Xenopus tropicalis: one gene and its partner. The protein of the gene in region 2 interacts with the protein of the main gene of each other region in a biochemical or structural test. Links are inferred from orthologs where the notes say so. Each region holds a gene or a part of one and is shown on either strand. Other genes may lie near its edges. The genes, in order: dedd2 and cflar.

Region 1 (4,478 bases), on a different chromosome or scaffold from region 2:
CAGAGTCTAATCAATGATCATTTGGGCCCACACCACAGCCAGATAGTTTGGTCTCAAAAAAATTGTACCAAATATCATGGGGCACCCTGATTCAAGAATATAGTCTACTATCCATTGTGACACTAACTATGTGTGGAAAAAACCATCAGAATATCCCCATATGTTTGTGGGCACTGGTTTTCTGGCTATGACCACCTGGGCTGATTCTCGGCCTGCAGATAAACCTCTGTCCCTACACTCTGAATGGCCTTTCCATGTGCCCAAATGTTCACTCTGTATGCCTAAACTTGGGCTGACGTAGTGGCTCCAAGTGCAGGCACATGGAAAGGGTGTTTGGTGTGTAGGGGCTAATACTTTGCCTATGTTTATGCACAGGCCAATAAACAGCTTGCGTGCATTATTCATTCCAGGCTCTTCTTACCTCTTAACAAGGTCATAAACATCTGAACATGCTACTGTATCAGACAGTTTCTAAAAGGTCTAATGCTGCCTCCCCCTAGGGACCTCAGGATCTTGGCTAAACGAGCCTGTCTTAAAGAGATACTGTCATGATTTTTATGGTATACTTTTTATTTCTAAATTACACTGTTTACATAGCAAATAATTCACTCTACCATTTAAAATTGTATTCTTGAATGAATATATATATATATATTTTGTAATATGGGTGTGTAGGCGCCATCTCAGTGCATTGTGCCGTAGTCTAAGCTTTCAGAAGGAGCCAGCGCTACACATTAGAACTGCTTTCATGTAACCTATTGTTTCTCCCACTCCCATGTAACTAAAGGAGTCCCAAGCCGGACTTGGATTTCTTACTATTGAGTGCTATTCTGATATCTACTGGGAGCTGCTATCTTGCTCCCTTCCCATTGTTCTGCTGATCGTTGCTGGGGGGGGGGGGGGTGATATCACTCCAACTTGCAGCTCAGCAGTAAAGTGTGAAAGTTAATCAGAGCACAGACCACATGGTTGTGGCACCCTGGGAAATGAAGAATATGGCTAGCCCCATGTGAAATTTTAATTATTAAAAAACTGTGTAAGAGATCTGGGTAGAATATTCTTTTCTCTCGTTGAAGCCCCCTGGGGACAGAGTGAATTCTACAGTTCAGCAGCCACCACCCACTGCATCTATTTTTACAGCACCACATACGTACACAGTGCTTTACAAGACAAACAAAGTGGGGTATAGTAATTCTATGATTAAGTGTTTCAGTACACAGTTGGGATGAAGTCCCTGCTCCAAAGAGTTTAAAATGTTATAGATAAGGAGACAGACAAAAACAAAAAGGGGTAAAAACAAGTGTATAGGCCAAGAGTTTGTTACTGCAGAGGAAGACTTCCATTAAAACAGTGATGCCCAGCCAGTGGCTCACGAGCAACATGTTGGTCACCAACCCCTTGGATGTTGCTCCCTGTGGGAGCAGCAAATTTGAATTCCTGACTTGGTTGCATAAAAAATCACATGTACTGATAACCACAACCTCCTGTAGGCTGTCAGTACATATAAGGGCTACCAACTAACCAATAACAGCCCTTATTCAGCACTCCAGGAAGTTAAGGTAAAATGAACAGACTGAGGCCAAAGCAAGCCATAGGGAAATTGTGAAATCTAAAAAATAATTATTCTATCTAAAGTCACGGCTAGTTGATTATAATAGGGAATATAAGATATAGTAAGGGCAATAATTTTAGCTATACACAACATGAAGTTTAACTACTATGTATTAAGTAGCTGTATGTAGACCAGGGATCCCCAACCTTTTATACCCGTGAGCCACATTCAAATGGAAAAAGAGTTAGGGAGCAACACAAGCATGAAAAAGGTTCCTGGGGGTGCAAATAAAAGCTATAATTGGCTATTTGGTAGCCCCTATGTGGACTGGCAGCCTATATAAGACTCGGTTTAGCTTTACACTGGCTTTGTATACAACTAAAACTTGCCTCCTAACCAGAAATTCAAAAATAAGCACCTAGTTTGAGGCCCCTGGGAGCAACATCCAAGGGGTTGGGGAGCAACATATTGCTCAAGAACCACTGGTTGGGGATCACTGATGTAGACTGAAGGCTATTCATATCCAAACATGAATATAGGATATGATTTTGCAGAGATCTACTCAATTTTGGGGGCTTGGTGGACAAAAATATATTCTTACCCTAGAGCCAGCAACAATCTCTTTCCTTCAATGCCAGTTTATGGCTGAACCTGTCAACAAACCTGCTCTCATACTTTTGCTTAATAATTTACAGCACCTGAAACTCCCTAACCTATACAAATGTCTATTCCTACACACCTGAAGGGATGGTACCCCAATGTGAGAGGGGGACATTATTAATGCATTATTATTGAATCAATATAGATTGACAATTTGCAGCCCCATTAATGTCACTGCTAAACAACATTTGACTACTACATTTACAGCTAAACATCTCCAATGGTTTAACATTGTTTCAGTTCAGCTCGATCAGCTGCCTTCTGCTCCAGTGTTTCAGGGGCCAATAGTGCAAAGAATACGGACAGTCACGGATCTACATAGACTAAGTCCTTTACTACAACTTTAAAACCACAGAAAACGAATATATCGTTAAAACCCAGTTTCCAGAGTTCCACCACCAAAACGTTCTCCCACCAAACACTGCTAATAGAATATAAGTTTGTGTGCTAGCAGAGGCTGCTGGGTAGTTCAGCCGGAGGGCAAGCAGCCATGGGTAGGACAACCAACAGCTGGAGGGTATAGATTCCTCCTGCAGAAAAGTAGTTGCCCCAAAATAGCTAGGGAGGAACCAAACAACTCTCGGCAGCCATTTTGTAGCTACTGACAGGCATATCTCGCCATTAGCTTGGGAACAGCTGTTTTTGCTGACAGACTTAGCAACCCCTTCCTGCTTCAACAAACCTTCATTTTCTTCTCATACTCACCAAGGGAAAACAACTCCTTAACTGCCAATATCGAAGTGCAGCCGTGTCGCCCAACAACTCACCGAAACGAACTCGTCAACGATTCTGGTACCTTCCACCAAAACCTGCCACTGCGCTTGCCCGCAAAACAGCAACAAAACCTACGCCCCTTTCAGCCAAAACATGTTCTACGCATGCGCTAGAATTGTGAGGCTGATGGGAGTGCTGCGCTGTCACACACCTCAACCTGCCGCATACATGTGACTACCTAAAGGCTGCCCAGCCAATCACACAGAGCCAGCCGACGGGCTTTACATAAGAGCTATTCATAGAGAACAGATACGCATTATAGATTGCGTGACATGGCTGCATCGCCGTGAAACTGCGCAAATGTGACTAACGGTTGCTATGGAGTTCTAATAACAAGCGTGGAGATGAAACTAAACTATCGACTTAGCTTGTATTTGTTTAGTATTTAGATGACTCAGAGAAATGTCATATAAAAGGCTGAAAGTTTACACTAGGAGAACAACTAATAGATAACAATCAGACGTTTGTTGTTTAATTGCTGCCTGCCCATGGGTTGCTATGGTGACTAGATTTGTAACTTTGAACCCATGTTGCATAATGTTTGCTTTGCCCTTTATATAATGAAATATGCCATGACGTCCTCCACTGAGAATCATTGTTATGATGGGCTTGCTCCTTAATCTCAGGGTGTGTGCCATTGTTATCAAGGGTATCTCGGAATCACCATTTTTGGCCGTTTTAAGGAACATTGTGGGCATAAGTCTTATGTCATTATGGCCATGGCTAGTCCAAAGCATACAGCCAAAAACAAAGAACTAGGTACATTTATGAAGATTCTCATTCATCCAGGTGATGATAAATGAATTAAGTCTAAAGCAACTGGGGTTTCTGAGGCTTCTTGAAAATGTTTCACCACTCATCCAAGTTGCTTCTTCAATTCAAGAGAGTGTTAGGGAATTCCCCAGCATTGAAACCCTTGAGGGTAATACTGTACAGTCACAGACACCCAATTAGAATGGTTCCAATGAACTTATTCAGTTAGGTGTTAGCTGAAACTCACAGGGATGGTTTTCCACTCTGGCATAAACGGCTTTTTTCACACCATCTGTCTTCTGAGAAATCTGCCCTCCTATGTTGTGCCATTCTCTTACAGAGAGGTTGTTTTGTTTCCCCAAGGTATAGATTTGAGCACTCCTCACTACACTGGGAGCATAGACCACATTACTCTTCATGTGTTTACGTGTGGGATCTTTAGGGTCACCAACTTCTGTCTCAGGGTGTTGCTCAATTATTTTTCTGATGTTCCAGCAACATAAGGAATGCTGTGACTGCTATGTTCCTCCCTTCTGTTTGGTCTGGTCTTTTTGACTTTGATTTTGTTTTGATAAAGGCCTGGGTACCCACAAGTTTTCAGAAAAACATCTTTTCAGATGTTTGTATTCCTTTATTTTAGCCTCTGCATTGATTGCCACAGTGTTGGAACTAGGCATTTGTACTTGTAGTAAGGAGAGCTAAAGGGTTTGAGAGTTTATCCATCAGTGTAAGGTAACTA
Region 2 (4,471 bases):
TCTATAAATTTACATGTTTATTACTAGAATACTGAGGGTATTCAGGAATTTAAAAAAAATTCCAATAGTGATTGCCCCCTCAACTAGGCTAGTTATAAAAAAACAAAACCTAATCAACACTGTACATGGGGAAATTGCAAATCATTACCCTACATAAGCTTCCAGTCCTATCTACTGTATGAGACTTGTGGTTTTCACAATGCAGTCAAAGACGGCAGAACAGTAATACAATAAATGCCTCCCAGTTATGTACCAACAGCACACCAGCCCCCCTGAAATTTTTTTTATAGGGACCTGGCAAAAACAGCAGCCCCTACCTGGGCCCTCCCTCCACCTGCCCATGTCACCTGCTCACTCGTGGCAGTGTAGGTAAGAGAGCAGCTTGGGAGGAGGGATTTCTAACAACTATTGAGAAAGCAGACCCTGTGGTCTAGGCCTCTGTCCCCTGGACCCTGCAACATCTGCTTCCTCTGTTGTAACGTCACTGGTGCCTTTTTTAGCTCTATCCATTAAAGGACATTTAAAGCCTACATTTGCCTACGATATATATCAGTTAGGAATGTCTCCCCCACACAAATGGCATCATTTGTACTGCATATATCCCCTCCGTTTGCCAGCACCATCACATTTTTCTAAAGCAAATAGCAGCTATCACCCGGTGGCCATTTTTCCTCTGATACATTTAAATCTGCAAACAGCATACACACACAGACCCTTATTCAGCATACATTTCATCAAGAATACAGGCTCACACAGGCAGAACTGTCTGATAAAAGTTCTGCTTTGTTAGAGCTGAGCTCAGGAGAGAAAGTTAGGAGAAAAAAAATCGAAGCAGACAGCTAGAGCCGAGTTTCTATAAGAACCAGCAATGCCATCTCTTCACTGGCTGCTAGACTAGAGGGCGTGTTTCGTAATCTGAGCTTAGAACGACTGAGCATGCCCACAAGCCAGAAATCCAATATGCTTAGATTAGCCAAATGTGGCAATAGTGGGCCCCAAAATGCAAAGAATTTTCTTTGCTGCCAATTTAGCTTCTGCAACAAAGCACAGTGGTTTGTTGTTGCAGCTTTTATATGTGGTCTCTAGCCAAATTTTTTTTTGCCAGACTTACTTTGTGGATCACTGTAAACAATGATATTCTGAACCCATTTGTCATTGGTCATAAGCTCTAGTTTGACATTGTAGCAGGTATCTGGTTTGGTCAAACTTACCATGGCAGGCAGTGGTTTGAATGCAGGAATGGAATATGAATAGCAAAGGGCCTAAAGCGAAAGGCTATATAATAAAATAATTATTACACAAAATAAAAAAGTATCAATAAAATTGTAGTCTAACAAAGATATCGTTTTTTGCCTGCAGGTGTCTGTGAACCCCATTTTAAAACTTGTAAGAATCAGCCTGGGAGTTTGGAGCAGATGCACATGTTTTTTCCAGAAATTTATGGTTGCTTGGGTTAAACCTACAATTATTAGAATTTTGGGCCATGAAAACTTAAGAAAGCAGATTTCTTGAGTGGTGATTTGGAAAGTTTACTGCTAAGAGTTTTTGATATTAGCATGTTCAGGAGACGTGGCCTCCAAGAAAAAAAAATAAAAAATTATATCAAAACACACATAATTTTCCAAGGTAAAATGAATGTTCAAAAACTGTCTGGCAATACAAGTACCATACTAAGGTCTATTAGTCTTGGTAATGCGGTTTGTAAATGGATAGAAAATTACTGTATACAGAGGGTGGTTAATGGTACATTGTTTAACATGGCGTTCTTAGTGGACTGTTGAAAGGGATAAGAATGTAAGGCATGTCGAAACTCAACATTTCTTCTGAAATCAGTTAAATACATACACTTTGTATGGCCATGCCCTACCATTCATAGTGATAAAGAATACATTCTGTGTGTGCAGTTTCACCCACATATCATACATACATACATAAATCAGTTATATGAACCGTCCCTACAAGCCAGTAATCTTTCTATTTATTCATGCAAAAAAAGTCGGAAAAAATTATATTTATAGGTAAACTGAGCTTTGCCAATCTTTCTTCTGCCTACCTCCATGAAATGAACAGGAATAATTAAGAATAGTGCCCACATTTTCCACAGCGCTTTGCAAAGATTGATTATAGATCATTTCCATAAATCTTGGTCCCAGTGGAGCTTCCAATCTATGGTAACAATCACAAGCTTCCCATTAGTCCCCATTTCAAGACCTTGGTCCTTGGTAAACATCTCGATCCTACAGACCCTGCCAGAAAAACTCCCCTTGTAGTGAGTTATACAAGAAACAATGGATGTGGTTTAAATAAGGAGTGGCAGAAGGCAGTGAGTTTTTTAGTGTGTGCGTTATGCTATGCAAGTGAAACTAAAAACCCAGAGCTGCAAGACTGCGTTACTAACCAGTGCGACATGTTGCTGCCAACGTAAAGTGGAAAGGCTTTGACACAAACAAAGGCGCCTGAGTTCATGCCCGGGACTATATCATGCCACAGCTCATGTAAAGTCAGGTTATCGTTGCCACAGAACTTTGAGCAGAAGGCAACATCAAGCTTCCGTCTTCAGCAATAAGGAAGCATCGCAACAAGGCACACGTCACACAGATAGCAACCTACTCCTGTATAATGTAGACAGGTTAAGAGAATAAAGCTGAACGTTATAAACACCTCAGAATGTACAAGCAGAGCCCGCCACTATCACATATAACGATACAAGCGCTGCTTTGTTTGCGTCATGCGAAATAAAAGCAGAATGCTATTATATACCAGAAAGGCAAAGTCCATGACATGGCCCAAGAGGGAGGTGGGAAGGCGGATACCTACCGTAGAGACCACTGTGTTACTCGAAGTATCTGAAGCTCTTACGGAATCTGCTTTAAACTCTGTCATTAGTAATGCAAATTTCTTATACTTTGTATCCGGCACGGAAATTCCAGGCGCAACAGGGCGCATGCGCAGGAACACAACTAATTTCAATAGAACCGCCCCTTTCCCCGCCCTCTGTGACGTACCGTGACGCGTTCCGGCCTTTCTCTTTTTCTCCCGGTCGTCGAACTGCTCACAAGGGGGGAATATTTTGGACGTGGTGTCTGTGTGGTTCCCGTTATCCTCCGCCCCCAGTGTTCGGCCCGTTTCCTGCCTGATCTATATTCGGTAAGCATTTGCCAATTAGCCTATGTCGAAGGTGGCGTGTTCGTGCGCCTTGCGTGCTGCGCCCGGCCTGTGTTCCATACAAAGATAGGTAGGCCGCTGCGCCGAGGCATTCCTCCCTGTTGCTCGGCTGTTCAACCTGTGCCTTCTCATTTACCTAAGATACAGATTGTAATATCTTCTTAACTGAACATCTCGGATATATTTGTTTTTACCCCAATAATAGTAGTTCTACTGGAAGGGTAATGGCTTATCCTGGTCTCTTTGGGTGCCACCTAAGCCGTTGCTTACTGTCAGCCTTGCTGTCTGCGCCTTTTGGCTGCATTTCATATCTTGCCAGATGGGTTTAAAAATGCAACCATGTCTTTACAAAATATTAATTCCCCCTTCTAGGATCATCCAGGTGTTTCAGAATTACATGGATTAGACATTGGCACGTACAATAAGAAAGAAAAAGCATTAAACTCCAATAGATTTTCTGCCATGCCCATGATAAATGGAGATTTGTTAACTTAAAGCTGTTCCATGCTGATTTCCCTTTATAGTATGTTAGCTTTTACAATAGGCACAATCTAAAATAAAAATGAACACTGCAATAGGCACTGTAACATGCAAAAAATGCTATTGTTTTAGTAGAAGCCACCATTACATGCAGTGGGATAAGCAGGACTTACTCTGCAGCACAGTTCTTTTAAGGCCCTTTAAATAAAATTGTTTTATAGCTTTCCCCCAAACTTAAAACAACAATACTTTTTAATGTAAAACAGTCCCCATATATCATTTATTATTGCCTGAAGGATGGGCAGGGATAGACAGGTTGATTGTCAAGGGAACACCTGGGATGCTTTTCTCTGGCTATACACTGATAAGTATATGTATACGTAAATAGCTCTTCTAATGTTTCTACTTTTTTTTTTTTTATAGTCTTTCATTTATATATGCTCCCTGCAACTTTACCTGTTACCTTTGCAATCTTGGCCTGCTTGCCTGATGCAAAAAATGGCAGGGTACACTCCAAGGCTAAATCAAATTTAAAAGTACAATGCGAGATTTTTTTAGTTACAAAGTTATGATCATAAAATTAACAAGCTAGGTAAACCCCATGTGGCAGTCAAATTTTTCATAGGCTGGCCTGGCAACTCCCTGTATGTTTGAATTTTTTTGGGAAACCTAAACCTGGGCATTGACCTCACAGGCTTAATCCTACCCTGCTTGCATCTTTTAAAGAAAAGACTCGCATAGAGAAAAATATGGGCAGGCACTCCGATTCCCAGGAAGTAGTATATCAACAGCAGCAGTCAAATTAAATGTAAAAAAGTATATAAAT

The links.
Region 1: the proteins of cflar (region 2) and dedd2 form a complex in vitro, tested with the Homo sapiens proteins (2 studies listed by BioGRID). The link is inferred for Xenopus tropicalis from reciprocal best matches to the Homo sapiens genes CFLAR and DEDD2.

Annotation. Positions count from the first base shown.
Region 1 is NC_030683.2:107,294,983-107,299,460, forward strand, and holds the start of dedd2 (DNA-binding death effector domain-containing protein 2), read right to left. Parts: upstream 3,086-4,478; 5' UTR 2,918-3,085; intron 1-2,917. UniProt on the Homo sapiens protein: May play a critical role in death receptor-induced apoptosis and may target CASP8 and CASP10 to the nucleus. May regulate degradation of intermediate filaments during apoptosis.
Region 2 is NC_030685.2:54,008,960-54,013,430, forward strand, and holds the start of cflar (CASP8 and FADD-like apoptosis regulator), read right to left. Parts: upstream 2,977-4,471; 5' UTR 2,947-2,976; coding exon 2,818-2,946; intron 2,708-2,817; exon of another isoform or gene 2,399-2,707; intron 2,345-2,398; exon of another isoform or gene 2,096-2,344; coding exon of another isoform or gene 2,054-2,095; intron 1-2,053. UniProt on the Homo sapiens protein: Apoptosis regulator protein which may function as a crucial link between cell survival and cell death pathways in mammalian cells. Acts as an inhibitor of TNFRSF6 mediated apoptosis.